Lonchura striata: one gene and its partners. The protein of the gene in region 1 purifies or fractionates together with the protein of each later gene. This does not show direct contact. Links are inferred from orthologs where the notes say so. Each region holds a gene or a part of one and is shown in the gene's direction. Other genes may lie near its edges.

The links.
Region 2: the proteins of NUP133 (region 1) and protein ELYS purify together in Homo sapiens (affinity purification with western blotting; 3 studies listed by BioGRID, with this or other methods). This does not show direct contact. The link is inferred for Lonchura striata from reciprocal best matches to the Homo sapiens genes NUP133 and AHCTF1.
Region 3: the proteins of NUP133 (region 1) and NUP37 purify together in Homo sapiens (affinity purification with mass spectrometry; 4 studies listed by BioGRID and IntAct, with this or other methods). This does not show direct contact. The link is inferred for Lonchura striata from reciprocal best matches to the Homo sapiens genes NUP133 and NUP37.
Region 4: the proteins of NUP133 (region 1) and NUP85 purify together in Homo sapiens (affinity purification with mass spectrometry; 5 studies listed by BioGRID and IntAct, with this or other methods). This does not show direct contact. The link is inferred for Lonchura striata from reciprocal best matches to the Homo sapiens genes NUP133 and NUP85.

What each region holds. Positions count from the first base shown.
Region 1 is NC_134605.1:43,277,530-43,284,806, forward strand, and holds the start of NUP133 (nuclear pore complex protein Nup133), read left to right. Parts: upstream 1-4,260; 5' UTR 4,261-4,279; coding exon 4,280-4,464; intron 4,465-5,581; coding exon 5,582-5,700; intron 5,701-6,494; coding exon 6,495-6,598; intron 6,599-7,277. Other genes in the region: ABCB10 (ATP-binding cassette sub-family B member 10, mitochondrial), read left to right, coding at 312-346, 879-1,170. UniProt on the Homo sapiens protein: Involved in poly(A)+ RNA transport. Involved in nephrogenesis.
Region 2 is NC_134605.1:32,730,906-32,738,330, reverse strand, and holds the start of protein ELYS, read left to right. Parts: upstream 1-4,409; 5' UTR 4,410-4,451; intron 4,452-4,692; exon of another isoform or gene 4,693-4,799; intron 4,800-5,652; exon of another isoform or gene 5,653-5,749; intron 5,750-7,425. UniProt on the Homo sapiens protein: Required for the assembly of a functional nuclear pore complex (NPC) on the surface of chromosomes as nuclei form at the end of mitosis. May initiate NPC assembly by binding to chromatin and recruiting the Nup107-160 subcomplex of the NPC.
Region 3 is NC_134607.1:19,258,081-19,265,971, reverse strand, and holds the start of NUP37 (nucleoporin Nup37), read left to right. Parts: upstream 1-4,877; 5' UTR 4,878-4,949; intron 4,950-4,985; exon of another isoform or gene 4,986-5,128; intron 5,129-6,435; 5' UTR 6,436-6,499; coding exon 6,500-6,655; intron 6,656-7,891. Other genes in the region: PARPBP (PCNA-interacting partner), read right to left, coding at 3,481-3,630. UniProt on the Homo sapiens protein: Component of the Nup107-160 subcomplex of the nuclear pore complex (NPC). The Nup107-160 subcomplex is required for the assembly of a functional NPC.
Region 4 is NC_134621.1:5,353,835-5,361,627, reverse strand, and holds the start of NUP85 (nuclear pore complex protein Nup85), read left to right. Parts: upstream 1-4,785; 5' UTR 4,786-4,820; coding exon 4,821-4,853; intron 4,854-4,954; coding exon 4,955-5,048; intron 5,049-5,133; coding exon 5,134-5,296; intron 5,297-5,649; coding exon 5,650-5,720; intron 5,721-6,051; coding exon 6,052-6,095; intron 6,096-6,829; coding exon 6,830-6,899; intron 6,900-7,778; coding exon 7,779-7,793. UniProt on the Homo sapiens protein: Essential component of the nuclear pore complex (NPC) that seems to be required for NPC assembly and maintenance. As part of the NPC Nup107-160 subcomplex plays a role in RNA export and in tethering NUP96/Nup98 and NUP153 to the nucleus.

The sequences.
Region 1 (7,277 bases):
TGACCACGATGCTGCCAAGAATGCCTTAGAAATAATCTCCCCTCTTTAGTTCGTATCTTTCAAATGGTTATCTCATAATAGTATTCTGCTATTTTAGTTTGGAAAATTTGAAAATTGAGGAGTGTTGTTTGTTTTGTCCTCTTAGCATTTAGATTTCTTAGAAGTAATGCTTTGAATGGTGCTCAGTTCTTTTGATGAAGTAGGTACTCCTAATTGGAGTTTTAAACTGTATGAATCCTGTTCTCTATTGATATGAATATTCAGATCTTGTTTAATTGTTATTATAACCAATTTAATTTTTTTATTTTTAGAATCCTAAAATTCTTCTGTTAGATGAAGCAACAAGGTAAGAAGAAAAGAAATAGAAACTTAGAAATTATGTACCTGTAAAACTCAGATTTGGGAACTCGCTCTCTTTCTTTCTCTCTCTCCATATCATTATACATTATTTAGATTTATGCAAAGCAGAAAGGATAGCTGGTGCATTGTGATTTTTCATTGAGTTAAATTCATACTGTGTAACATGATTTTGAAACATCTACTTAAGGCTTTTTTGGCTCTGTAGTTTAAGTTTAGATCCTAGTGTAAAACAACTAGGCTTATTGTGCAGTGTAACTGATTTTTTTTTCCACTGATTTTCTTTGGTGTTATTTTCCAATGCTTATTTTTGCATTTGAGAATACGTCATGACTGTAACTTAGATGTGAGCACTGAGCATGTTCATGAAACTTTCCTGCAGTTTCAGTGGTTCATCATCACCACAAATAGAGAGGGTTTGCAGTTTTGGCAAAATAAGCCTCATGCGTACAAAACCAACCTGCCTTACAATAACAAATATCCTCCTCTCCTCTCTCCCATCCCCTCCCATTTGTTACTAGTGCTTTGGATGCTGAAAATGAGTATCTAGTGCAAGAGGCTCTGGACCGGCTGATGGAAGGGAGGACAGTCCTAATTATTGCTCATCGTCTGTCTACTATTCAAAATGCAGATTCCGTTGCAGTCCTTGGCCAGGGTAAAATTCTTGAATGTGGGAAACATGAGGAACTACTTGCAAATCCAAATGGACTTTTCAGGAAACTGATGCAGAAACAAGCTTTTCTTCAGAATAATGATACTTTTGCATTAGATTTACAATCCAGAGAAAAGGATATATTAAAAGAAAACGTATGAGACAATGTATGAATAATTACAAACTTCAAAGACTATAACTTATGTTTCAGTTATGTAAATGTTATATTTTTCCAAAATGTACAAAATATTATTTTGAAACTTAAATGTGTTTAAACTTTTTATTGAAAGCTTTTTAGTAACTATTGTAACTTTTAAAAATGTCTGTCACACTGAGATCATTTCAGGGCATAGATTTTTCTGCTTGTGTTACTTTGAAACTGTCTAGAATCTTGTTTGCTGTAATGCATTGTATGAAGATGTGCTCCATTCTCAAGTAAATTCAGTATTTTAAAGGTAATTAAATTACAGTCTTATCATTTTCATATAATTGTCTCTCTCTTTCCAAGGAACTTTCATGTTTTGTGCTTGTCATGAGTCTTAAAATGATGGAATTCAAAAATGCATGACACAAACGCACTGTGAAAGTTCTGTCGGACTTCCACTGCGCTGTCCTTCCAGATACCATTTGTTCTGCAATGTGATTATGTGTTCTGAAGTTGACTGTGATCCCCATCTACAGTTCCTGTAGAGAATTACATATGAAAAGGGTATGAAAGCACAAGTTGGAGGAAAGTTCTTTAATAAAACAAACCACCCAATGGAAAAAAAGGCAAACAAACAAAAAAACTTTCTTTACAAAAGGACAAAGGAAATTGTTTTTAACAATTGTTAACAAATTACCACATGAAGTCACATAGGAAAATCTAAAATTTTCATGCATTTTCTTCCGTTTTCTATTTTCTCATTTCTTTAGTTTCACTTTCTCTCTAAGATGGCATCCAAAAGAACATGCCCTCCCATATATGTTTTTGTCCTTTTTAAGGCATATATAAGTTTTGTATTGTTAATTAAAATTTCAGTGATAGAAATCATGAGTTTTGCCTAATTACTTTATTAGAAACAACTAGTAAACAACATTTTCAAGGACAACTAGTAAAATAGCAGCATTACATTAATTTGAATAACTGCAGGGGGATATGTTTGAGAGTGAAGAGTTTGCTTCATGTTTCTGATTGAAGAGTCTTTCAATAGAATTTCTGAAGATGCAAAACCCCACAAGATTTTACAAAGCTAGAAACTTCCCAGGTCACATTAAAACTCATCCATGCTGGAAGACCTGATTCACAATAGCTGAAATACCTAGTGTTGGGCAAGCTTAAAATGTTCGTCCCATGAGTGGCACCTTGTGGAATACAGTGAAACTATTAGAGAATGAAAATAAAATTACATCCAGATGTGATTGTATCTTCAGATAAAATTTTCCTAGAAGCATATGTTGTACTAAAGTTATGCAAAAAATACTCCCGACCCAATGTTTAATTTCATTGTTGACTATTAATGTATTTAGAGGGGTTTGCAGCTTTAATCCTCACTCATGTGATTTCTCCTTATTTGAGATCCAATGAGCCCATTTATTCCTGTATTTACACAGGTTACAGGAATTCCTTCCAGCTGAACTGAATGAGTGTTTCATGTCTTTTGTTCATTAGTTGTCCTGGCAGGTAGTGCAGCTGACAGAGAAGTGTGAAAAGCTACACAAAAGCTCTAGTCCACGAAAAGGTAAATGTATGTCATAACAGTTACATTGTTTAGAAGACTTTTTTGGATATTTATGGGACAGTCAAGAAGTGGTTAAGTCTCTAACTGGTATCCGTACAAACTATTTTTGTGCAGAAAATTAGATTTGAATGTTGAATTGTATCTTGTAAAGATGGAGCTCTTGCAGGGCTGAGACAGCCAAAGGAAGCCGACTAATTCCCTGAGGAAGTGTAGCTGCGTATAGATAGGGTTCAATCAGCAAAACATAATTCTCATGCTGCATCGTTTCAAATATTTTAGGAACAAGCTGTGAAAAGGAGCCTTCAGTTTTTCAAATAATTTGAATGTCACCATTTGGGTTCAGTCATAGAGGACCATAATCCACATAGAAAGTCTAACAGCCCTGAATCTATTATCAAAAACCATGGTTTTGAAAAGTTATGCAATTTTTAAAAATATTCTATTTTTAGTTAATTTTATCTTAACTGATTTGCTTTGTTAATACTATACATTCAACTCAACTTCTTCCCCAAGTGTGGTACATACTTACCTTCTGAAAGCTTTTTAATGCTAACTGATGCCATTGAGCATTTAGTTCCCCTTGAAGGCTAAAATCTATTTTTATACCACAGAATAGCTGTCGTGCATGGTTGTTATTTAGCGTAGATGTGAAACGTGCCAAGGTCTGTATGGAAAATGGTTTTCTGTATTTATTTATTTACTTAATTAGAAATGTGGGGACAAACACAGGTATGCACAGGCTATTTTAAAGATAAGGCTGGAAAATACGTCTTTCCAAATAGTCTTTGAACAGCTGCTTTTTGGTCATATTCAGATGGTTAGTGCAAGCTAATCGCGTGAACTCGGCGGGGAATGGTACCCAAGCCCACCCTTGTGAATGCTCTGGGAGCGCCCCGAAGAACGGAGCTTCAGGGCCGGTGAGTGAGGCCCGTGTTTAGCTCGGCTGAGGGCGGGCAGCGCGGGGGAGGAGCCCGGGCCGCCATTCCGCCCTCAGGGCCGGCCCTGCGGCCTCTCGGACCCGCTCGGCCCCGATCGGCTCCTGCCGGCCGCGCTCGGCCCCGCTCGGCTCCTGCTCGGCCCCGCTCGGCGCCTGCCGGCCGCGCTCGGCTCCGCTCGGCTCCGCTCGGCTCCTGCTCGGCCCCGCTCGGCGCCTGCCGGCCGCGCTCGGCCCCGCTCGGCGCCTGCCGGCCCCGCTCGGCTCCTGCTCGGCCCCGCTCGGCGCCTGCCGGCCGCGCTCGGCCCCGCTCGGCGCCTGCTCGGCCCCGCTCGGCTCCTGCTCGGTGCCGCTCGGCGCCTGCCGGCCGCGCTCGGCCCCGCTCAGCTCCTGCTCGGCCCCGCTCGGCTCCTGCTCGGCCCCGCTAGGCGCCTGCCGGCCGCGCTCGGCCCCGCTCGGCGCCTGCCGGCCGCGCTCGGCCGCGCTCGGCCGCGCTCGGCGCCTCTCGGCCGCGCTCGGCTGCCGGCTGTTCCCGCGCGGCCCCGCCCCGCGGTGACGCGCTCCGCGGGCGCCCGGCGGCAGCGCGGTGCCGGTGCCGCTCCCGCACCCACAGCCATGTTCCCGTCGGCTCCCGCCTCCCCGCGCACCCCGGGCGGCTCGGCCCGCAGGACCCTGGGCAGCGCCGCGCCCAGCCCTCTCTCCCGGCCGAGCGGCAAGAAGGGCCTGCCCGTGGTGGCGGCAGCCGCCTCCCCGGTGCTGTTCTCGCCGGTGGCGCGGAAGAGCGGCTCCCTCTCGGCGCGGTGAGTCTGCCCCTCGCCTCAGACCCGGCCTCGCTGTTAGCTGCTCGAGCCAGCCTGGGTTATATCACAGTACTGTACATTAAAGCTGCACATACACGGTGCTCCGTGTCCAGCGGTGTGAATACCTCATACTAGGTTTTAAATGCGCGAGTTCCTCAAATATACCCCCGTGTGATACAATTATGAGATATGAAAATTATAAGAACTTCTGTGTTTAAAAATAAGCTAAAATAGTAAAGTTCAGGCATTTCACACCCGCGTCTCTCCCCAGCTTCTTCCCCCGTCTTCTCCCTGAGGTACAGCATGAGCCCCAGACCAGTTTCAGGCTTCATAATTTCTTCTCTCAGGAGAAGATACTTGTCGTACAGTTAAGATAAAGAGGATTGCCAGTGTTCAGTTTTGGAGAACTTTTACTTTAAGTCTGCATAATAATTTTTTCAGGGTGCCAGGAATGTCTACTAGCTATATATCAACTTCTGCCATTTCACACAGGGAGGTGTGAGGCATCAATTCACTTGTGAGGAGACATAAAAAGAGGGCATTAACTTGTAAAAGCAGATAAATTTGCCCACCTCACTGTGTCCAGAGGACAACACAGACCTGTGCTGTTCCAGAGTCAGAAGGTGGAGAAAGATACAATGAAGCTTTTATAAATGGTAGTCAGTGCAGTCTCCGCAGCAAGCTAAGGGTGGTAGAAGTGCTGTTGGGTCCAAGCTGCCATGGCTGTTCAAAGTGTTGCACAGCGTGTGCTGCCCAGCAGTGCCAGAGCTAGGGATGGAACTAGTCCTTGCAGTCAGGGAAGAGCTTCTGCTGAGCTTCTTCTGATATTGTGAATGTCTTCATTCTGTAGATAACCAGAGTGTAGAGAGGTTGAACGGTGAGTTTGTTGCTGGTGGAGTAATGCGTATTCAAAGTCAGTTCTTTAAAAATGAAGAATTTGATGACAGCTAGGAACTTGTAAGGAAGCCACCAAATTTTTGCTTTAGGTGGTGTTCCCAGAGAAAGCATGTTTATTTTACATAAATCTGTTTCTAAATAGATACTTGTGAAGTAAATGTCTGCTGAAACTGATGAATAAGCAATAAAAAGTTGACTGTAACTTTTTGTTTTGTTTAAGAGCGACTCCTACCAGAATTATCCAGCTTCCTACAGCAACTGAGACTATTAACTATGATGTTAAGGCCTTTGGGTCCTCTCTGCCTGTTAAGGTTATGGAAGCCCTGAAGAAGGCTGATGGTAAGAATTGATGTTATTTTTCTCCATGAAACTTGACAGGTGAGAGAATTCTTAATGTGTTGTTGATGCCATTGAAATGCTGATTTTATAGGGGAAGCTAAAATGTCTGTGCCTTGCTTTGAATCCAACCTGGTTGTATATGTAACAATAATTATAATAATGCCCATGTGGGTGTGAATGCATGAAAATACCCTTCAGGTGCTGCTTATGCAATTTATTGTATAAAACCAAGGGTACAAGAAAAGCCAATAGTAGGTTTTTGGTAACTTTTACTTACTGGTTCTTCCTTACCTTTTTTACTTGTTTTGATTTTGCTGTGTCCTAGAGTGGATGCTTAATATTTTTCTTTATTTCAATTCCCATTTGTTATCTCTTCCAAAAGCCCTAGTGATACAAACCATTCCCTGAGTTCAAGAAATTGGTCTCCTAAACAGTTTTTTCTCTGTGCATAAGTTTTTCCTTTATAGTAGATATAAGAGGAACCCAATAAATTTCTGAAAAATAATGTTAAAATTGTTGCGCGATTTACAAAGCTCTTAAAATCTGCTCTAAATACAAGGAAATGGGTTTTGGGGTTGTCATTTCGTTCTCAAAGGTTGAGGGTTTATCAAATGGATTTTTAAACAAGATGTAGTAATTTGATATGTTAATCAAATAGATGGACATTCTAACATGGAAACTAATTTAATAGAAAATATTTATTTTCATTTAAGAATGAAAGTTTATTGGTTTAAATGTTGCTCTGCAGTGTTTTAAACATCTGAATGCTTTAAAGAAGTTACTTTTTTATGTAGCTGATGACCAGCTGAGCGTTCAAGTGGATGAAAGTGGATGGGCCTGGCTAGTTCATAAGGAGAGGCTGATTATTTGGAAGATTGGTCAGTCTGCAGTAGCTAAGGTAACTGAAGGGTCAAGATGGAAAGTCTGTATTTTATGCTATTTCAACTGGTAACGCAATTATGGGGTTGGGGTTTTTTTTTCAGTTGGAGTTTGTGTGTTTTTCCTCAAAAGTAGCAGGATTGATATGAAGTCATGTTAACAACAGTAACTGAAACTCAGGCTTTTGAGAGAGCTTATAATTTTTATATTCCTCTCTTCTGTTTTGTCACCTTGGCACTAAGGTTAATTCTTCATATTTTAATGGGTGTAGCTCTTAGGTTAGATAGTCTTGGCAAAGTTTATTTTGATAATTGAAATCTGGTTGATATGTTCAAGTTGCAACAAACCCCAAAAACATGGTTAATTTCGGAGGTTACTGAACATACGTTTCACCTAGATTTCTTAGGTCAAGAATTTTTGTATCCTCTCTGGACAGTATTTCTTTCAGCATCATTTCAGTGATAGTCGGAGAAAAACAAAATCAGAGTTACAAAATCAGTTTTCTTTCAATCAAGACAAGGTATGTTCATTATATAGGTCCTGCACTTACAGAGGAGTGTCAGGTGTACACATTCTGGCACTTGAAGAGATTTCTCAAGGGATTACAATTTTTCTGGTTGTTTAACTTCAAGGGTGTAGGGGAGTGGGGTGTGTTTCCCTTCTCTACCCTGTTAGTAGTTAATAAGTTCTCTCAACCA
Region 2 (7,425 bases), about 11 Mb from region 1:
CACTTTCTCTCATCTCCTTAATTATCCCATACTCATTTTACCTTGTTAATTGCTCACTCTTCTCTGGCTCTTTCTCATTTCAATAAATGCAACTATTAATACTCTTATTGTTTACAAGCCACCAACTACTCCATCATTCCCCTCCTCAGCTGGACAGGGGAGAGAAAATGTAATGAAAACTCATGGGTCAAGATAAAGACAGGGAGAGATCATTTACCAGTCACTGTCATGGGAAAAAGACTTGATTCAGCAAAAAGGAACTTAATTTCTTAAACATTATATCAGAGTGAGACAATGAGAAACAAAAGCTAAATATTGAAATGTCTTGCCTCCACCCCTCCCATCTTCCTGGGTTCAACTTCCCTCCTGATTTTCTCTACCTTCTCCCCTTTCTGCAGCGCAGAGGAATGGGGGTTGCAGCCCCATTAAGCATGCATCTCTGCTGCTCCTTCCTCCTCAAGGGAAGGACACTTCACTGTTCCCTTGCCCCAGTGTGGACTCCCCCCCAGAGGAGACAGTTCTTCACAAGCTTCTCCAATGGGAATCCTTCCCATGGGCTGCAGTGCTTCATGAACTGCTTCAGTGTGGGTCCCTTTTCAAGGGGTGCAGTCCTTCAGGAACAGGCTGCTCCAGCATGGGTTCCCTGAGGGATCACAAGTCCTGCCAGCAAACCTGCTCCAGGGTGGGCTCTTCTCTCCATGGTGTCCAAAGGTCCTTCCAGGAGCCTACTCCAGTGTGGGTTTCCCACAGGGTCACAGTCTGCTTTTGGGCATCCATCTGCTCTGGCATGGACCAGAGGGGACTGCAGGGGGATAGCTGCCTCATCATGGTCTTTACCACAGGCTGCAAGCGAATCTCTTCTCCAGTAACAGAAGCATCTCCTCCGCTTCCTTCTGCACTGGCCTTGGTGTCTACAGAGGTGTTCCTCTCACATATTCTCATTCCTCTCTGTGGCTGGAATTGCGCCTTTTCTTGCTTTCTTAAATCTGTTACCCCATACGAGCTACCACCATTGTTATGAGCCTGGCCTTAGCAGACAGCAGGTCTGTCTTGGAGCTTCCAGGTATTGGCTCTGCCAGACACAGGGGAAGCTTCTGGCAGCTTCTCACAGAAGCCACCCTTGAGGTTCCTCCACGACCAAAATCTGGCCACACAAACCCAGTACAAACATGCACCTCTATTCTCTTTTCTTTGTAAACTCGGTGAAAGGCTGGACTCCTCATGAAACCCCTTCTCCCTCATAGGGCACCTGCCCCCACATTCAATCAGCACTGTTTTTGTGGAAGCCTCAAAATTACCTCCTCTTAGGCAGCTCCATCTCTCCCCTATATCTCCCACCACCTGTCAGGCACTTGCCATAAGTTAGCTCTCCCTGAGAGGTTATTCTCTCTGTCATTCAGAGCTCTACCCTCCCCTTTCCCTTCCCTTGCTTGAGGACCATGCCTTTTGGAGACTCCTCTTTATCTTGCTCTCCAGACTCTAGAATAGGTGGTATAAAATTGTGTTCTTGTCCTCTTTCTCTTCTGTTACTTATCTCTATGTAATCCCTACCACAAACATAAAATCAACTCCCTAGCAGCTTAAAAATCCAGTGCTCTATTCAGACAAATCTCTAAAAGAGAGATCAAGCCAACCACAAGTAAAAGGGTACAATATAGATGCCTCTACCTACAATGTCACCTAGGCTGCCATTACAGCTAATCCTGTAGGAGGTATCTAAAGCCAGCCAGGAGAGGCACTCGGGAAAGGGCTGTTTCTTTTCCTCACCTAAAAAGAGAGTCCAGCTGAATGCATTGATGACTGTAACACAGACACCTAAAACTGGGCAAGATGAGTCATAGACCCTTTTTTCCAAATGCATCCTTGCCCATGATGCCTGCTCAGATAAGCCTTGCTGTCACTTGAAGTTCAAGCTTGGCTAAACCAGCCCACTTCATCCCATAGCCCCTCAGCTGCTGTTTAGGCCAATGTTCACATATGCCTATGACAGGGGGGCAGCTTTGGTCCAGACTCCTCCTCGTGTCCTTATTCAGATCATACCCAAACCTTGAAAACATTGTTCCACAAATAATTTCTGACATGAAGCCTTTCTGTCTCCATGCATGGAGCTAAGGCTCTCATCCACTCTGAATTGCCACTTTGAATTGTGCTTACTGCCAAAACACTTGTCCTTCCCTCAGTAAATACAGCCCTTTCCTGCACACAATCACTCTACATGTCTTTGTAAAGGATATAAGTCTAGCTGGTCCTCTGGTGCTGCCATGCCAATCTTTGCATTTTTCCCTTAGCTCCCTACTCTCTGTCACATCAGATGAGAGCTGCTTGTCCTTGCTTTTGAGCTCTTCCATAGCCCACCCCAGATCTGTCTCTCTCACACACAGCCTCTCACATGTAAAAGTCAGCTCTGCCATCAGCCATCAGATGGTGGCCAGGGCCAGGCTTCCTTCTTTGCAGGAAAATCCTGTCTCACCCCAGGACTTGTGCACAGCCTCCCCTAAGGTCAGGGGCTGGGCTGCTCTGTGAAATCCTCTTGCTTGGCATGGTGGGTTCCTTCTCCGTGACCTGTGCTCTTGTATGATAAAAAATTAATAGATCTAAAGTGGCAACAGCAGCACCAAGTCACAAAAAAGATTTGCATAATAATATAATAATGGCAATTCAACATTAAGAGGCATAGCTGTAATCTAGGCATAATGTATGATGGGAAAAATTAAATGCCTTTGCCACCCCTTTGATGATTCTTCTTCTGCTTAGAAGCATTGCAAATTTCGTAGAATCATAGAATGGCTTGGGTTGGAAGGGACTTTAAAGATATCTTGTTCCAATACCCCTGCCATGGGTAGGGATGCCTTCCTCTCGACTATTTGTTTATCAGTATCTGAAAATATTTTTTTTTAGATCAAAGAACACTTTTAACCACATTAAAATATATACACTGAAAGGAGTAGCATTAGACTTACACTTCTGACTTCATATTTACTTTTTCTCCTTTTGGTGACTAACAGTGTAACATTAATTTTTTGTTAATTTGTTGGGATTTTACATACAATTTCTTATTAAAATTAAAAGGAAAACTGCAGCTAAATAGCCTACCCCTTTAAATCCTTTTAAAGGGGTGACCTAATGACTGGCCCTCCAGTACCTGAAGGGCTCCTACAAGAAAGATGGACAGGGACTTTTTACAGGAACATGTTGTGACAGGAGAAGGGGAATGGATCCAAACTAAGAGTGTAGGTTTAGATTAGATAGTAGGAGGAAGTCTTTTACTGTGAGGATGACGATGCCCTGAAAGAGACTGCCCAGAGAAGCTGCTGGAGTGTACAAGGCCAGGCTGAACAGGGCTTTGAGCAGCCTGGTTCAGTGGGACGTGTTCCTGTCCGTGCAGGGGGGCTGCAGTTCCATGACCTTTAAAGTCCCTTCCAACTGTTATAAACGAGAGTTTATTTTAGCCAGATTAAAAAATAAAAATAATTTTATTAACGGTCAAATTCTATCTAGCCAGCCACACAGAAAGGACAGAGCCGAGCCCGGGGTCGACCCTGGGTGTGCAACAAGGAGTCAGCCTCAGCAGAGGTTTTCCCCTATGCCCACACACCTCCATCCTGGCACAGGCGGTTTTTATAGGGAAAATTCTGCCTGAGGCCAAGGTTTTAGCAATCAGTCCTTTCTTCTATTCGGAGTCCATATGTTAATAAGGATTTCTTTTTGGTGATGAGGAGAAAAATTCAATGTTGGGTGTTTACGGAAAGGCTTCATTCACATGGATCTGAGTATTTCCATGATATCCATCTTGGACGATCAGCACAGACGATCAGCACAGACGATCAGCAGACAATGGCCCATCTCCCGGCCGAGCCACATCTGTTTACTTGTAAATCAGTTTCCAGTATACACTCAAGTCTCACCTACAAAAAGGGGGGGGAGGAACTAATACAACGGGCATGATTTAACAAGCATCCAATATTACATATTTCATACAAGGAATGGCGCGAATTATATTTACTATACATAACACAACCCAAACCATTGTGCGATTTAATGAAATCCAGATAGACCGGGGTTGGAGGAAGAGGGACACAGGTAGGGAGGGCCATTTCTCTCTGTGCCGGCGGCTCCCCTCGGCGGGGCAGGAGAGCAGAGCCGTCCCCACCAGGTGCAGCCCGGGGGCCACGAACGGGCTCGGCCGGGCGCCGGTCCTGCCAGCCCACGAACTACAGCTCCCGGCGTGCCCCGCGGAAGACGGCAGACACCGGGGTGGGAGCGGAAGCAGCCGCTGCGCGGCACGCCGGGATCCGTAGTCCGGAGTCTGCCGCCGCAAGCGCCCGGGGCCGTGTCCCGCGCATTTGAAAATTCCCGCGGAGGCTCGCTGCGGATATCGCGAGAATTCGGCCCCCCCGCCCCCCCGCCCGCCCATCCCGTCCCGCCCCCCGCGCGGCGGGTGAGCGAGCGAGGTGGGTGCGCGGCGCGCGGGGCCGGGCCGGGCGAGGCCAGGCCAGGCCAGGCCAGGCCAGGCCAGGCCATTGTCGCCGCTGCGGGAGGGAGATGCCGCCGCCACCGGCACCGGCACGTACCGGGAGTGCGGGCTCGGCTGGGCTGGGGGCAGCGGCGCGGACAGGAGGAGGCGGCGGAGGTGGCGGCACCGGCGACCCCCGCCCGCCCGCCCGTGTGCCTTCGTTCTTCCCTTTCTTCCTTCCCCCCTGTACCAGCGGGTACCGGCCGCTCCCGAGCCTCATAGGCCGACACCGCCGCTGACGCGGGCCCGCGGGGGCCTCGGGCGGGCCCGGCTGCCTGTCCCTTATGTAAGTGACCCCCGGGCTGCGGCGCTGTGTCCGCCACACGTGCCCCGGTCCCCGGCGGCGGGAGAGGCCCGGGCGGCGCGGCCTGGGCAGCGCACATGGGAGGCTCCGCAGCCGGCAGGCTCTGGCAGGCTGGGGGACGTGGGAGATGCGGCGGCTGCCGCCAGTAGCTTTCCCTCCTGCCCGGCGCACGCCCACTGTTCTCGCCCGTTCGGTCGTGTATTTGGAGGGTTTTTCTTTTTTCTAATTCGGCTTCCCCCTCCCCCGCCGGGCGTCGGGGTTGTATTCCATGAGGAGGCGGGAAATGCGCTCTGTGCGTAGAGCGGCGATTGCGGGACGTGAGATGGGTGCAGTGGGGAGGCCACAGCTTTAGAAGAATGCAGTGCAATTTGTGGGGGTCTCGGCGTCTTTGCACGAAGCGAAACATCGCGAAGCAGAGTTGCTGCTTGCTTAAACAAAACTGCTCAGTTCCTTAATAAACTGTGAGTCCGTGTCTGGAGCTTCTGCCAATAGAATGCTTGGTGCCAGTCTTCCAGGTCTTATGATTGCTTCCTGGTCGTGTCTGGGGAAATTGGAGGAAATTGAGGGACTTGTTTGTGTCGGAATGGCTGCACCCCATTTGGGGTATAGGGCTGTGCCTGGCCGTGCAGGTGCCTTTGCAGGGCCAGTCTGGCTGCTTGTGTCAGCCTTGGCTGGCAGCTGTCCCATGCACTTGGGCACACAGCTCTGTATCTTGGTCAGGACAGCTCCTCATTTACATGCTGCCTCAGCTCTCCTTCGTGCATGGATTTGCCTGTGATTGGCTTTTTCAAGAGTGATCAAGCTTCTATTAATTATGCGTCTTCTGCCTAATAAGGTGTCGGACATAGTTTTGGAGAAGCAGTGGTGACAGGCCTTTTCTGGTGTGATGCTGGTTTGCTGGTGTGGAGAGAATAGAATCCTTAAATTGGCAAGTAAGAGTCACCCTGTTGCATGGGTTGCAGGTGTTTCTGTAATTGCTCTTGTCATGTTGCTGGTTGTAAAAACCTGTTGGAGAATTAAATGTTCCACATCCATCTGGATACAGCCTTGGGCAGCCTGCTCTAGGTGATGGCTTGAGCAGGGTGTTTAGAAGAGGTGGTCATGTGTGATTCTGGCAGGTCTTTCTCTTTGATGTGATTCTGGAATTTGTGCTGAGAAGGGCCAGCAGTGGGATGGCATACCAGTGTGGTATGCTGGAAATGTCTTTGAAAATACAGTAGTAGAACAAAGGAACAAATAGGAGATGAGAAATGGCAGCAAGGTCTCTGTTTTGATGTCAGTGATGCCAACATGTCCTGTGAAATCTTGTCTTCAGCTGTGACTGACCATATTTTTAGCATTTTCTTCAGTGAGCCCATAATGTTGTTGGCCTTTTAAATTGATTTTTGTGTAATACCATCAGTCAAAATTGACATCTCAGAACTCTGATTTGGCTGTATGTAGTTCTGCTTGAACACACAATTTCTTTCTTTCTTTTCCCTCCTTCCCTCTCCCCTCTCCCAAGCTTTGTAATCCAAAAATTTATGACATTTCTGTCTTTGGAAATAGTTTGTGGTGTTTGGAAGTTATAAGTTCCTAGGGTGAAAAAGAATACTCATTTTGGCAAATTGCATGCAGACTGCATTGCTGTAGGATACAGCTGGGTGCTTGAATTCTAGTTTATTCCTGAAAATAGAGTAAGCATGTGACATTTTACCCTAATCTGATTTCTAAGAGAAATAAGAATGTGATTGTAGTTATTGTTTCAAAGAGAGCTGAAATGCAGTTGCTGTTGGATATATCTCTTGAAATTGAGAGGCTTTGTGCCTTTAATCTAGATCTAAGGATTTCCCCTCTGTTTTGATTTCTTAGCAGTTCTTGGTTTAACTTAGCAAAATGATGCAAGGAAAGCAGCCTTACAGAGAGGTCAGTATATATTGTTCATAATTTGTTATAAATCAACATTGTTCCATGCCTGATTTCTAAAAGCAAAAAGAGTTGTTTAAACTGGTCATTGCCTTACTGGAGCAAAACTGAGCATGCCTGATGCTCTAGTATTTTCATTTTGTACAAAAATGGTTTAGGTCTTGGAGTTCTACTTACTTGATGTTTCTTACTGGTGTTTGTGGATCGATTTTTTTAATATAGTGGGCAGGAGTACACTGTGTTAACATATGAGCTTTTCATCTGTGAAGAATTCTTTTGGGATGGTGAGGAGTTTGTTTTTTAAACTCAAATCTCCGCAGTAGAGGACGTTTCAATTTGATATCCAATTTAGCCACACAAGGTTCTGTGCTCTTGGCACAGCAGGTAGGGTCGCTCAGGGTGATTCGTGGAGACCACACAGCTGAGAAGTTTCCTTGCATGCTCTTACCTGCCCTACTGAAAGATACTTGTTCACTCCTTTCTTAAAACTATCTTGCTATTATTGTGGTATATGGTATTAATAATCATATACTTACCATACAGACATCTCCATTTTTATTTACAAGAAAAAGAAAACAATTTTATTAACTGCAATAATTCTGGAATTTTATGCTCTTTTCTAAAATTCCTTAATACATGTTGTCAGAGTCGATGCTTTGTCAGGCTGGACAAATAGGCTGACAGGAACCTCATGTAGTTTAAC
Region 3 (7,891 bases), on another chromosome or scaffold:
CCAAGGAAGTTAACGTATCACCCACAGACATCATGAAGGGACAGGAGCACCTCACATATGAGGAAAGGCTGAGAAAGCTGTGGCTGTTTATTCTGGAGAAAAGAATGCCCAGGGAAGATCTCAAAGCATACAAATATCTGAAGGGAGGATGCAAAGAGGATGAAGGCAGGAGCCTTCCTAAGGTGCCCAGTGGCAGGAGCAGGGGCAATGGGCAAAAACTGAAACACACACAGAAGGTTCCCTCTGAACATCGGGAAACACCTTTTTACTCTGAGGATGCCTGAGTACTGGCACACATTGTCCAGGGAGGCTATGGAGTCTCCAACCTCAGAGACAACTTGAAAGACACCTGTACAGGTGCCTTTGAGGGAGGCTGGATAAGATGACCTCCAGAGTTCCCTTCCAACTTCAACCCTTCTGTGATTCTGTGAAAAATTAATCATGCTGAAGGACAGCCAAGACAATCTCACTTAGTAGCATCATTACAACATGTTACAAGCAGCACATCACATGAAATTGCTACAAAGTTAGTCAGGAGTATCTCATTACCAAAAGGGAGACAGAACAGTTTAAGGGAGTAACACTGTAAAACTCCACTTTTTTCTTCATTTGCCAACTTGGAAACAGGACAATTTGGGAAATCATTTCAAGAAATAAAGATACTAAACAGAACATAATATTCTCCAGTCGGCATCCAAATGCACTTGCGGAAGCACAGAACAGAAATAAACCAAACATTTTGTATATTTCTGCTTTTATATAAAATCAGAAATATACAAAAACAAATTTCTAAAGGGAAGATAATTTCTAAAATCAACAAAGAAGCAGTTTCTCTTCCAGTATCAAAGTTCTCATTCTAGAAAAGATTTCCAACACATTTAAGTCTGACAATTTAAACTCATAGATTCTGGAAAAATAATTGTTTTATACACTTCAGTTTCCCATCCCACTAGCTAAAACAGCCATAGTCTGAAAATGACAGGTGATTATCTGACCAAAAACTCATCTTCTACCCCTGATGATCCACAGGTACAAACAGTCAACTTAAAGCAATTACCCTCAGCTGAACTTCATCTTGAAAACTTTTCTTATTATTTCAAACCCTGAGGAAGAATCTTCTTGAAAATGTTTCTAGATTTTTAGATCTATACTAATCAATCTAGGTGAAAGGTATTTACTTCTATTCAGAGACCTTATGCCACATGGCTACAACCCAAAGTATTTTCAGAGGGATTCAGACCACAGATTTGCTTTTTTTTTTCTTTCATCCCTACTGTTGGATCAGGGATTATCACACTTTTTTCTATCCTTATTATGGTGAAATTTAAGATTAACAGATTATGAAGCTTTTAAACTTTCCTAGAGTTCTCCTAAAAGCTTTGTTATTTTTCATTTCCACTGTGGATACAGGTACCAATTAAAACACCAAATCCATTAAAACTGTCCAAACTCCTAAATGAAGAGAAGTGTATTTTGGTTATTTGTGATAGGTTGGATGTGTTGGGTTTATCCCAATACAGCCTGTTAATGAATTATTTTTATTGCAGTAATTGACTTTACTAAAATAGATTTCCATTCTACAGGTGCTAACAATTCAAATTATTGTATTTAAATCAGAAACCTAACAAGTGACATGTCTACAAATGTAATACTCTGCATCTTAGTTTGAAGTTTCAGTACTGAACAAAATAAACCAGACAGATTCTGTTTTAAGACTGTGAACTTGAAAATGGATACCATCTGAAGAAATTGTGCTTCAGAGGCAGCACATGCAAGTCCTAAAATAATTTTAATCCACATATACAAACCAAGGTTTGTCTTGTTAGACCAACTAGAAAAAACAAATCAGGTTTTTGAAAACTTGTTCTTTCTTCAGATCTGAAGAAGCTAAACATTTCAAAATTAAATTAGTTGAAAATAACTGCTATAATTTTTGTTAGACCATTTCTGAAAGAAGAGATATTTATGGAAGAGAGGAATATTATCTGGAAGAGGAAAAAAAGGATAAAGTAGAATAAACTAATTACCTCTAGTGGAAGAAAAAACTTATTGCAAGGAAAACAGGGAGCAATGAACCATAACCTTTTCATGTCTGTAAATTTTGGCATACAGCGGAACAACATATTTTAGTTCCCAGAGCTGGCTTTGGAAAACTGTTTGCAGTTTTCCCTTGAGAATCACAACGAACATGACAAACAGCTGTCACCTCCATATGTAGTTTTGCATTAATGTCTTTTATCAGTTTTCCAAGAGTTACTTTTGATGCATGCTGATGTTCTCATTTCAGCTTGCATAGGTATTGTGAGGACACCAGGCTCCTGGCTGGAATATATTACATTCCAAAAAGTACCAATGTAGTATCTTGGCATTCTTGTACCCTTACTGTAACATATCTAACAGTGGGGGATGACTTAACCAGTTTTATACTTAATGCTTAGCAAGAGATATTCCTAGTCTGCGTATTTTAGACTACAAAATCTTTTTCTGATGCACAAACTGAAGGTTTTCTGTTTGTTTGGATTTTTTAATTGGCTTACGGATTTCACTTTGATGTGGTTCTGCTGTTTCTGGTATGTTTGTTGATTTGGTACATTTGTTTTGGTTTTCTTACACTAAAGCTTTGTACTACATGTTTGACTTACTATGCAACACTTGAGTAAGTCTTCCAAAACCAGTCAGTATTGTTTTGATCAATAATTAGGTTAGTAAACCTAAAAAAGTATCTTAAACTATTAAAACAAGTATTGTGATAGCTCTCCTTAGATGAGAGGCAAAGGCCTGATTGTATATTGCAACTGTTTCTGGTATGTTTCAGACATCCTCCACCTCTGACGAGCCATAGGCTACTTTCAGAGACACTTTAGGGTTATTCCTCCTTTTCAACATTTGACAGACACTTCATGTGCACACACAAAGAAAGCCGTAAAATTCCTCCTGGTACTGGCTACACACTCACAACTTACAGGTACACATAGGTCTCCACCTGACCAATGTCAGGAAAAGCAGCAGCCAAGAACGGTCTGTGGCAAGTACAACTTGCACAAACTATACCAAATCAGTTTTGTAATCATGTTCGTCACATGCCATTCAGAAATCTTCTTGGGAGCACTCAGAAAAACAATGCACCCCAAATGCCATAGTTCTCTTACCCTGATCTATAGCACAAAAGAAACATTGGATGGAAATAAACAGAAGTGACACAGTCAGTAGAAATACACTATTGTTTAAAGGCTGGAGCTCAAATATACACATAAAAGCACTTCCATCCTCCCATCTGTCTTGCAGGTCCTTTTTGTAAACCCCACTTCAATAGTGCTCTTAAATATTCATTTTCTTGCCTTGCTGCATCTGGCCCTCAGACATACCTTGTTTTAACAAACAGGAAGGAAACAACAACAAAGTAAATTCAGGTTGGTGCTTAAGCACAAAGTGCAGCCAGGGAACCAAGTCTGAGGTGTGCCAAGTACCAAGAACACTAACCTGTTTATTGACTTCAGCCATGGACAGTTGTAACGCCATCAACATGCAGTCTGCTCCACATACAGTAGTTCTTTCAGAGTTGGAAAATAAAGGCCATTGTCTTCTGAAACACTTGATCAAGTGTAAAATTTTTTGCTGAAAAGTAACCATTGTCCAGACTAGACAATAGATATAATCAAGTGAAAAACAATTATGGCCAGAGACATATGCAGGTCTTCACCTCCCAAAAAGCTGTGCAAATCCTGTTGTATCTTCTTAAAGACCAAGTTCCTAGAATAAACTCCTCCAGCTAAACCAGACTTGCCTCACTATGACAGAGCAAGTCTGAAAGTAAGGGGTGTAAGTATGTCACACCTTTAAAGTCCTTATTTTCTTTGCATATCATGCCAACATAAAGGAATGCTATCACAGATATCACAGTATTTGTCTCCAAAAGCAGCCTCAGTGCATCTTCAGAACTTTCTGCATTCACTATACATTCAGGTGAGTGTCTATGAGGACGTTTTAATCCTGGAAAAAGAGATGTTTAATATTTCTAAGAGTTACTAACACAGACAACTCTAAACACTTTTGTTACCGATACGGTCTTTTCCCTTTTTTTTTTTTTAAGTTTGATTTTTTTACTTCCATAAGGCATTATCTTCTCTGGCGATAATTGGGCTACTTCATGCTTTGGTCTCTCTCACCTTCTTGCATTTGTCAAGACAAGGTACATGACAATGTGGTACAAACTTGCCTTTAAACTTGTTCTTTTCTGAAACAAAGTTCCCTAACACCGCCAGGACAGTACAGGAGCAATACCTATCCCATTTACCTCCAGAAAACAAAACTCAACCTTCGACCTTTTCCCATACAGCCGAAGCAGAGACCACAGCGGGTTCGGTTTTCGGTTGCTGGCACGACTGCAAAAAACGAGGAAGTGTGGGCAAGGGGCAGGGAGGAAACGGGCACGACTGCAGCAGCAACTTCTCACTGTCCAAAACGTGTGGGCAAGGGGCAGGGAGGAAACAGGCACGACTGCAGCAGCAACTTCTCACTGTCCAAAACGTTTGAAGGGGACAACGTCGCATGGGGGGGGGTCACAGCGGATGAAACACGCGCGCTGCAAGTCAGCGCTGGGCAGAGTAAAAGCTCTCCGGAGGCTTCTCTTTCTCCCCACCCTACGAGCTTTCCAGGGGACCATACCTGTCGCTCCCAGCGAAACAGCCCGAACAACCCCTGCGGAGCCGCCCCTAACACCCAGAAGCCGGGATCGGCATCACCATCGCGGGCGCCGCGGTGCCCCGAGCGCGGTGCCGGCGCTGCCGCTGCGGCGGGGCCGGGCCGGGGCCGCGCCGCGTTCAAATCCGCCGCGCGGCCCAATGGGCGCGGGGCCGCTGCCCCGGAAGCAGCCGCGCCGCTGCCGCCGCCCGCGGCCGGCGCTGCTGGGAACGGCCGGGCCCGGCGGGAGCGGCGGCCGGCGTGCCGAGGTGCGTGTGAAGCGGGGCTGGGCCACCCCCGGCCCGGGGAGCTCGGGCAGCCTGGCTGGGGAGCAGCAGCTGGGCCCCGAAGGGAAAAGGAGGGAGGGCAAAGGATGCGCGTGGATGGGGGAGGTGACGCGCACCCACGCGGTCTGGTTGCCTTAGTCGTGCTTTCTAAAGAAATGAAGGTAATCTTACTCTTGGTGTTTTCAAGCTGGTCTGGCAGCCCATAATTCAGGCTGAGAAAGTTGGGGTTGTTCAGCCTGGAGAGGAGGAACTTGAGTGGAGATCTCAAAGCACCTTCCAGCATCTCAAGTGGCTCTACAGGAAAGAGGAGAGGGACTGTAGAGATAGGGCGAGAAGCAATGGTTACTTTCTTTGGTTGAGAGAGGGGAAACTTCAGTTACATTTGGGGAAGGCATACTTTACGGTGAGAATGGTTAGCCACTGTCCCAATCCTGGCAGTGTTCAAGTGCTGGATGAGGCATTAACAGCCTTGTCTAGTGGAAGGTATCCCTGCCCAAGGCAGCGGGGTTTAGGACTACATGATATTAAAGGTCTGTTCTAAACCCTTAACACTCTAAGATTTTATAAAGGCTTGTGTTCATGGGAAGCCTTGAAGGAAAAAAACTTTTGATAGGATTAAAATTTGCATTTGGCTTTAGTAGCAAAGCTATGCAAGTTATATGGCTAAAGTATTTATGGTAATATAGTGGACTGTTGTATGAATTAATACACAAACACATAACTACGGAGAGCCTCTCTGTGTTTGAGTGATGCCTCTGTCAGACCTGGCTGGCTCCCAAGCTAAACATTCGGGCTTGAATGCTGAGACCTTCAGGTCATTTACACACCAAAATCTGTCAAAGGTCTGAGATTTCAAGCTGATTTTCCACGTGGTGTGTAGTTAAAGGTCTGATTTCCCAAAAAGACATAAGCTTATCTCAAATCTGTACTGGGACTACAAGGAATTGATTCTGAAATCAACTGTGTGTCTTGGCCTCTTGTGTTCTAGTACAGAAACCTGATTTTCATGAAAACTGGTTGAATGTGCGACAGAGTTTTCATTTACAGTTTTGCAACCTTGGTTAACTCAGTTTTTCGTTAGACTCACAGTCCATAAAGAGGTAGACAAGTAAAGAGAATTTGAAGGTAGTGATGTGTTGTTTCTTTTCATTTGGTTGAAAATGTTAAAATGCTGTTCGCGACTCTTCTGGAGTATGTGCAGTTACTTGGTTTTTTGTATTGGTGTTGGGTTGCCAAGGGTAGTACAAGATCTGCAGTTATTGCTGAAGTCAGAAAGAGACAGTTTTGAATGTATGTTAGTTTAGTAAATATTTTGATTTCTGAAACAAACAGGCTACATCTAATAAACTTAAGTGCAGCTTTTGTGTTCTTGAACATGTTACAGAAATTTTTATTTACTCTGCCACAAATACTTTGCGGTTTTTATTCATGCAATGAGTCATCTATGCTTTTTTAAATTTTTGTGTAGGAATGTGGATTTTTGTCCTGAAGAAGACACAGTTTCCGTGATACCTTGACTTAGTTCACTGAAAATGAAGCAAGATTCTACTAGAAACATTTCTTACACTGTGGATTGCGAGGATTATGTGCACGTGGTAAAATTCAATCCATTTGACAGTGGAGATCCATGTTCCCTCATTGCTTATGGTGGCAACAATTATGTGGTTGTTGGGACTTGCAGATTTCAGGTTAGTCTGTATTATACTGTTGTTTTTGTTCGATGCCCCTGAAACTGACTTTGCCAGCACCTCTACTGCAGAAAGACTGGTCACTTTCCTGTTTCCTGTTTCCTCCTCTTGCTGGGGTAAACAAGGGAGAATTTTACTTGTTTAATACACTAACAAGTCTAGGATACTTGTTTTTCAGGAAAATAGAAATATATATATATATATATATATATATATATATATGTATGTAAAATACACACTGATATATCTGCACTAATTTTATAGATATTTCTTTCTGGGGATGAACTGTAGAAATACTTACCTAATTTTTTTTTTCTCACAGTTGTTTTTACTGGATCTCCCTTACAGACTGTAACAGTCTGTAAAGTAAAACATCTTACCTTTAAGTTATTTACAGTTATATTGTGAAAAATTTTTAAATGGAAAATACTGAGTATTGAATATATTTATACTGGATAAAATGTTTTTCATTAGATGAGTTTTTTGCCTAGATGCTTGACAATCAATTGAAGACAATTGCTTGGAATTTCGAAGCTTTTTTCCTTCATCTTGCTTCTTTATTACACAATATTATTTTTGTAATTTGTCTATTATGATTAATAGTGTAGCTGATATCTTTATTATTATTATTATTATTATTATTATTATTATTCCCCATGGTCTTACTGTTGTAAATTTTCTGAAGAGCTAACCACAAAAACATACTGATATTTGTGTTCCTCTCTACCTTGTTTCTGATGTAGGCCTTGGAAAGGAAGTAATTCAAATTTTATAACCACTGACACAAGGTGTTTTTTCTATAATTTTCATATCCTCCCCTTCCACATGTGGAGTCAATGACCATGTCACAGTAGGAGAGAAAAATGTTGTTCTTTCTTCCTGTTGAGAAGCATTGAAAAACTGTGGGTAATTTCATGCATCCTCAGCTGGGTTCTGCTTGGCCTCTACATTATGTAGAGGGCATACAGAGAGGTTCTTTATCTTAAAACAGAATTATGACATAGAGAAAATTGTGTAGGAATATCTTTTGAGGTGCTCCATTGGATGTACTGAAAACTTTTAAAAGCGTTTTAGAGGTCAACTTATTGATGGAGTCCATAATCCCAACTCCTGTTTTATTTTTCCTGTTATCTGGTGTTCATATCAATGGTAAGAATAAGCAAGCTTGTAATTAGGATTAGATGACAGAGAGTACCTTTTTGTCTTCTGCTGTTTCAAGAGCAATGTTCTGGAAGT
Region 4 (7,793 bases), on another chromosome or scaffold:
TGTCAAATGCTTCTCTATGTCATGTAGATGGAAAAGAAACTTCACAAAAATTACCCCTGTCAATCCCCAGGGATGGATTTTCCAGGTGGGTATCACTCCACACTGGTGCTGTTCCATGTGGGAACACTCTTGAGTCATGACACCAAGGTGGCTGTGTGGTTACACACCCCCCGTTCCTGGTAGGACAAAACTTTCTGCACCATTTCAGAGATGTTCCTTGTCCAGAATAAACTGCTCACACAGTGAAATACTGACTGAAGAGAAACTTCACTTACTGGCAGAGCTGCAGACTTGCTCTGTCAGTTCTGGTCCCTCTGCTCTGCCTTTGTCATGTTACTTCACATTCCAGCTCTCTCCTTCTGAGCACAGATTGGAGTTTTTCTGCCATTTTCTGGAAATTGCAGAAGAGTAATACCCACTGGGTAGAGGAAGCTGAAGCCACACCTTTATCTGAGTCTCAAGTTGAGAAAATGGAACAGCCATGAGGCAGGAGGATGTCCCAGGCTTCCACCTGAGCTTCCACAAAATGTGAGCAGTGGTCTTTGACAATCCCTTGCAGTCCAAACTTTAGCCTGAAATTTCATAGAACCTTTAAGTTTTAGTATTTTACTTCCCCTGAAGAGTCTTAATGAGTCAATTCTGAAAAAATCCCAGGCATGGAAGTGTTCAGTTCAACCTAAGAAGGCAACAGATGCTGCTTCAAATTGTGACTGCAATTCAAACAGATCATCCTTTGAGCTCTGCTTTCCACTCCTACCTGTATCAATTTACTTGATTTATCATCAAAAGATCTATCAGTTGATCCTGCCTGTTTTCTCTGTGTTTAATTACTCATGCTATTATTTTTTTATTTGTTTAAGGTACTGGGAGGTGAGAAGCACCCTGGCTGGGGAAGACCATGCACTTCTGCCCAAATCCCACTTCATGTGTGATGCCTCAGGCTCCTGTAGTCTTCTTTCTCCTTTCATTCCAGCTCTGAAAAGCAATGGGCAACTTGGTTTGGTCATTCTCAAATTGATCATTACTACTAAGAAGTTGTCACTCTACTAGTGAGAACAAGGAAACAAAGCATCTTAATGCCCACCCTTCTATCTATCTCATCCATGGCTTTTTAAAGCAAAACTCCCAACCCAAGGGGTACTTCACAGAGCAAAAGATGAGTTGTGATTCCCAATGGACTTAAGTTCTATTTTTAGAGATGATGCAACATCACAGAGATGTGTGAGGAAGGGCTCAAGGGGTTTGATGGTCCTGTTGTATTTTGTTCTTTTCACTTCTTCCCCCTCCCTCCTTGAAGATCCCTGTGCTGCAGGCCCAGGAGGAGGATTTTTGGGGAGGTGGGATGAAGCTGGCCAAGGCCTGAGCGTGGCATGAAAGAACTGAAGGCAGAAATGACACCAAGTGAGACACACGTTAAGGCAGCATCACAAATAGAACAAATGTGCTAAAAAAGACAGGAAAATACTCTAGGATTTATCAGAACATATGGGAGTTAGATGTGCTCAGAAAGGCTGAAAACAGCTTCAGATGCACCAGCACTGGTCTCACCACCAATCAAACAGATCCCAAATCACAGAGCAGGTTTATACAAACCTCATCTCTGTGTGGCTTTTCTTTTTACATAGCAACAGAGGAAACTCTGAGAAACTGGAGCTGACAATGATCAGTACTAAAACCTGCAAAGGAACAGGCCAGACAGCAGCACTGGGAGAAAGCAGCGGGGGGAGAAGCCACACTGGGAACTACAAAAGCTCCACTCCTGCAGGGTCCGGGCTGCAGCAGAGGGGAGCAAAGCAAAGGTTTTTGTCCCTCTGAGCTCCTCCTCTTCAATGCACCAAGCTGAAGGGAAGTGAATGGAGAAGCATCACAGTGAAAATTCCTGAGAAATTCCATCTTTGGGAGAAAAAAATTCCACGTGTTTTTTTCTTAAAGTATTTCCATACTTTGTTTCACTCTTGTACTGCAGTTTTATAAGGAATAAATCTAGATTTTGCAGAGCTCTTTGGTTTAATTCTCCCCCCTCTGATGAAGAGGGCAGGGAACATGGGCATTCCATATACATGTTCTTCATGCTGGGATTTTAAAATATTAAGTTTTTTGATACCAAAGCAGCTACAGGTAGAAGGTGCATGCTCCTGCACATCAGCAAACATTAGCCTATAAAACCAACTCCAGCCCCTTCAAAACTGAGTGTTACTTTGTACTGAGTCCAATGCAATAACAAAAAGCACTCAGTAATTTGGTGTGAATGAGTGCGTTGGGTTACCAGCTCAGACTCTGCAGGTCTGAGTGCTTTCCTCAGGCTTTGTTCTTCATTAATTCTGGCTTAACCCTGGGAATAGAAAATACCTTTTGCCTATAGCCCTGCCTGTGCTGTGCCTTCCCTGTTCATGATGCTGATCATTCCCTCTGTTCCCCAAATAGCTTCCAAACCTCCTATTTCACAAGGTAGTAACTCCTGTCCTAATCAGATCTTTTTTTCTCTCTTTTTCTCCTGACTGTAAACCACACAATTTCTCTTTGCTTCCCTTGCTGGACCCACAGCCCATACTCCAAAGCCTTTCTGAGCAATGTGAAATTCCATGCTGACATGGAAATTCCCAACTCTACTCAATTATATGGACTGAGAGGCACAGAAGCCTCGAGCAGGAAGGTTTCCTTTCTAGGTATGTGCAGAGCTCCAGCCAGTGTTCAAGAGGACCAAAAATTGTCAAGATTTCATACCAAAACTCACCTTTTCCAAGATGATTTCCACAGGAACCATCCATTTATGAACAACAGATGCTGCGGATATGAAAAGCCACTGACACTTTTAGGGAGAGAGCAAAGTGGACGCTGTGTGCCAAGAGACAGCAGGAGAAGATCAAAGAGTTCCAGCTTTCAGTGTCTCTTCCCACAGATGGACCTGGGAGCAGCAGAGGACACTGTCCCACTCCTAGATCAACCTCCCACACGGTGGATCTCTACACAGTATTACATGGATGTTCTAAATATATTCTGCCACTCACAAGAATCTGCTGCAGTTATAAAAGCAGCACCTTAGCCTTGAGGAACAGTGGCAGGAGGCCTCGTACCCCTGGGTTTTTAGACATCCGGTTTTGAATTGCATATAGAGCCTTTTAGTGATGTGTGGAATGGTATTCTGGATCTAGGAATGCCCACAAACATCCTCAGAAGTCTGCAGCACAGAGCAGCACCATTGTGTAAGACAATAAGGTGAATTTGACTTTGTACAGCAGATTAAAATACAGGCACATCCTCAAATAACAAAACAGAGACCCTTACCCATGATAAACAACGACAGGTTTAAAACTGATGAGTCTTCAGTCTCTCAAGCAGCTTTTGGAATGTTTAATTTGTTCTACCTGCAAAAATTTATTCGTTCTGACCTGAAGAGACACCACTTTCTTTTCTCAGCATGACTGGTTACATGACATGCTCTTCCCAGAGATAACTGCTGGCCTTATTTTTATTGGAAATGATGGATGCAGCAGTTGATAAGTAAAAAAGGGCAATTTAGCCATGGAGTGTTGCACTATTTGTCATACAGGACAGCAAATTATTTACATTATCTTGAAAAGTTTCTTTTTAGTGAGCATTCTGGGAAGGCACCAGCCTAAGAGGGACTGGTTCCAGCTGTGAGACCAACAAAGCTGCACTGCTAATACTTGTCTTAAAAAGTATATTGCTGAAGAACTTGCTTATTGGCTAGCACAGGCAAAAAGTGAGGAGTTCACAGAAGCAGGGAGGAGAGCAGAATGGAAGGAGAGGAGCAGGGTGCTGTGAGTGTTTTATCACACCATGGCATTGAGTTGAATGCCATGGTAGGTGAGCTCCCAGTGTTAACAGAAAGGTGATGAGCCTCCAGCAGCCTCAGAAGGCACCTCTGCCCAGTGTCCAGGGGATATTCCACCTCCTCCTGGACCCTGAGGCAGGGAGTGAGTGAGTGAGTGAAGCACAGTGGCAGTTCTTCCTGCTTTGATCCTGCTTCATTACATGTCCTTCCCGAACCTGCAGGCAACTCTCTGAAGTCAGAGCACATAATTTGATTAGTCAGCTTTATCAATGCCCAAGAGCTCCAGAGAGCATCACCTTCAACATCCCAGAGGCTTCTCAACCTGCACGTGTTTGACATGTATGAGGAAATAGGAGACATGGGTTGTTACACAATGAAGCGTGAAAACACTGACAGTGACTGTGCACTTGGACAGAGATCAGGCAGGATGCGCAGTCTCCCTCACTGGAGATATTCCAGAACTGTCTGGACACAGCGCACTGCCATGCACTCTGAGATGAGCCTGCTGCAGCAGGCAGTTTGGACCCGAGTTTGTGGTCCTTCCAACTTAACCTATTCGGTGAATCTGTGAACGCTGACTGACCAACGACATCACTGCACGGCACACCTGGGGCCAGCAGTGCTCCCAGCCAGCATTGAATCTGTCCTGGCAAGAAAATGAGGAACACCGTGAGGGGCTGGCATCCACCCCAGCCCACCCCATCCCCACAGCCCGCTCGGCGCAGCCCCGGCGCTCAGGCCCGGCGGCCCGGGCGGTGGCGGGGCGGGTCCGTCCGCCTGGCGGGGCCTCGCGCACGGGCGGCGCTTCCGGGGGCAGCGCCGGTGCCTGTCCCGGGCCGCGGGACCCGCGCTCCCTCCCGTCCCGGCGGCGCCCGGGCGGCTCCCCCGGCACAGCGGCCCCCGGCCCGGCGGGGGCTCGCGGCACGCAGGCGGCGGCGCGGGCAGCCCGGGGGGCCTCGGCGGCCCGGCGGGCGGGAACGGCAGCGGCCCGGCGGGCGGGAACGGCAGCAGCGCGGCCGCCGCCATGGACGAGCCGGACGCGGAGCCGCCGCTGGTGGTGCGGGATGGGCCGGGCCGGGGGCTGCGGGGCCGGGGGCTGCGGGGCCGGGGGCTGCGGGGCTGAACGGGGCGCCGCTGACGGACACCGTCCCCCCGCAGGTGGTGCCGGGCGCGGACCCCTCGGCCCGGCAGCTCTGCTTCGCCTGGGGCCCCGCGGAGGTGCTGGTGTGCGAGACGCTCTTCGGCCGCGCAGGTGGGCTCCGCTCCCCGTGCCCATCGCGGTTCTGGGTGAGGGCAGGGCGGGCGCTGCTGCCGGGCGCTGACGGGCTCTGTTGCAGGTACCGGGGATGGAGCACCGAGCTCCTCCTGCGTCTTCGTGGTCCGCAGGGACCAGGACATTTACATCCAGACCCTGCGGAAACTCTTCAACGAGTCGCACGGGATTTTCATGGGGCTGCAGCGGAGCGAGGAGGAGCTGGCGGGGAAGTCGCGGAAGGCGCAGTGAGTGGATGGGGAGATGCGAAGGAGGCAGCCGCTGCCCCTTCTCCAGCCGGGGCCAGCGCCAAGGGCTGACGAACGCCTCAGGTGGGGCAAGTGCCATTGGCCAGGCTGCTTTCACCAGCTCTGGAATCAGCAGCGAGGCAGATAGAATGACTATTTTGGGGATATTTTATAAATCAAGGATCGGATCCTTCCAATAACCATGCTAGTAGAATGTGGTACAGTTTCATTGATTCCAGCTGGATCCACCCAGGTAATGGGAGTTGTTGCTGCAGAGAAACTTGCAGTTATAGGGGGCATAACACTAAAACTCCAACAGCTCCCTCCAATCAAAGTCTTTTTGTGTTTGGCAGATTGGTTCAAGTGAGTAAAAACTACCGGTCAGTGATAAGAGCCTGCATGGAGGACATGCACCAGGCAGCTGGTAAGTTTGTTTGTTCTCTTCCTGCAAGAAAAGGAAACACCAGTTGCAATTACAAAAGTAGGATTGTAATAGTAACTTACTGCAAGTGCTGTACAATAACATGTATAGGTTTCAGTAATTGGCAAGATTCTATTTCCATGTGGGATATTTCCACGTTGGTTTGTGAATCTGGTCATGGACTGGTTTTTTCCCACCATATTGTAACTGATTTTCTGGGGACTTGCAGCCTTTTCGTATCTCATGTGGCAGATATATGGAAAGCTATCAAAGCTCAGAAGCAGCTGGCAAATGTAAATATGTTGCTCTTTGACTTTATTTGCTTTTCCTTCAGTTTCGACCCAGGACCCTGCCCTGCAAGGCCAGTACAGCACTCAGGTAATCTGCAGTCCTGTCAGGTTGAACGTGGATTACTGCCTGGTGAATTCACCAGGCCACCTCTGTGGCACGAGGCACTTCAGATTTAACTCTGTCTTGTATATGAGATGCAGTTCATGACCAAGAATAAATTGAAATAAATAGTTAATTCCTGTGCTTCTGAAACAATAAAGATGCCAAACACCTCAATTCACTGCAATGTTGTAAACATATTTTCTGTTCTAGATGTGATGTTTTCTTGTGATCCCAAAGCTGACAAGAAAAGTTTCAGACTTGCTGTGTGGTGTTTCACCTCTCAAACTCTCAGATTCCAATCAGCAGCATCTGAGCCTCACAGCAACCTCTGGGTGTTGAGGGTGAGCTGTCAGATCCACCAGAGCGTTCTGGGAGGAGCAGAGTGCTCACACCAGCTCTGTCCTATCAGCTGCAGTGGTGTTGCTTCATTGGCTGTTCTTTCTGCCTTTGATGTTTGTATTGAATCTTAAAAGGCTGAAAATAAGACCAGTTATATTGCTCACTGGTGACAGATTATTGTTGCATTTCATTACACAGTGTCAGTGTTCTCTGACCAAAGAGTGTGAAATTGTGGCCTGTGTCTTTTAATTTTTATCTCTGCAATGTCAGTATGATGTTTCTCTGTAAGAACTGATTTCTGTGGACAGCAGATGCCTTTGTGTGGTTAAAAAACCCAGGTGGAATGACTGTTTCTGAAACTTGGCCCTGCTTTCCTTCAGGTTTCCATTCTCTCCGCAATGGAGCTGATCTGGAACCTTTGTGAGATTCTGTTTGTTGAATCAGCTACAGGTGAGCTGTGAACTATGCTGGTGTAAAGACTGATGGGTTTCTTCTTTGCATATTTCTTTGTTTAAAATGTGTATTATATTCCCTGTGTCATAGTTTAATGTTTTAGAGGTATGCAGTGTCAGTAAGCCTTTTAATATCCCTTCTGCCTCAGTTAACTGCCTTCTTTATACTGAATTATACCAAGCTATTCAATTTTCCTTCTACTTTTCTTCCTCGCTCTGATTTAAATTGTTTCTTTGTCAGAAAGGTTATGAAGCAGAGGGATATCAAAAGTTGTTGCCAATCTATTTTATTTATAAGCTTAAACATGTCTTTAAACATCAAATGTGTCGATGCCAGTTGACATTTACACAGCTCTGATATAACTCCTTTAACTTTAGGTTGCCATTTTTGAAGTCAGTCTGTTTACATTGGTCTTTTAAAGTAGGAAATAATTTTTGAAGGAAATCATATTATGCAAATAAATGTGCTACTTACACAGTCCCAGAATTCAGCAGAGACTTGCAAATTATAGATTACTTAAGCTAAATTGGTCACCTAGTACCAAATTTCTTCCACCTATTCAGTTAGTAATAATTATGCTAAAATAAATAGAAATATTCTGTTTGTCTCTTGGCATTGCAAGATTTATGATCTGGATCACTCATTTTTTATTTCTTCAAGTGTGGGTTTTCTACTGGACCGTGTTGCCACAGGAAAACCTGTCAGAGGCTGGGTGCTCCCAGGGCCTCTTTGCATAAGGAGCTCTGTAATTTGGGGGTGGCAGGTAGAAATCCAGTCAGTAAATCTCATCTAGTGATGTCAAACTGTTATAAAATGTGCGAGAGCAGTTTGGGAACAAAGAGGTGGGAACTGACAGAGGGAAATCTGCCTGCACAGCTGGGCCCCTCCTGC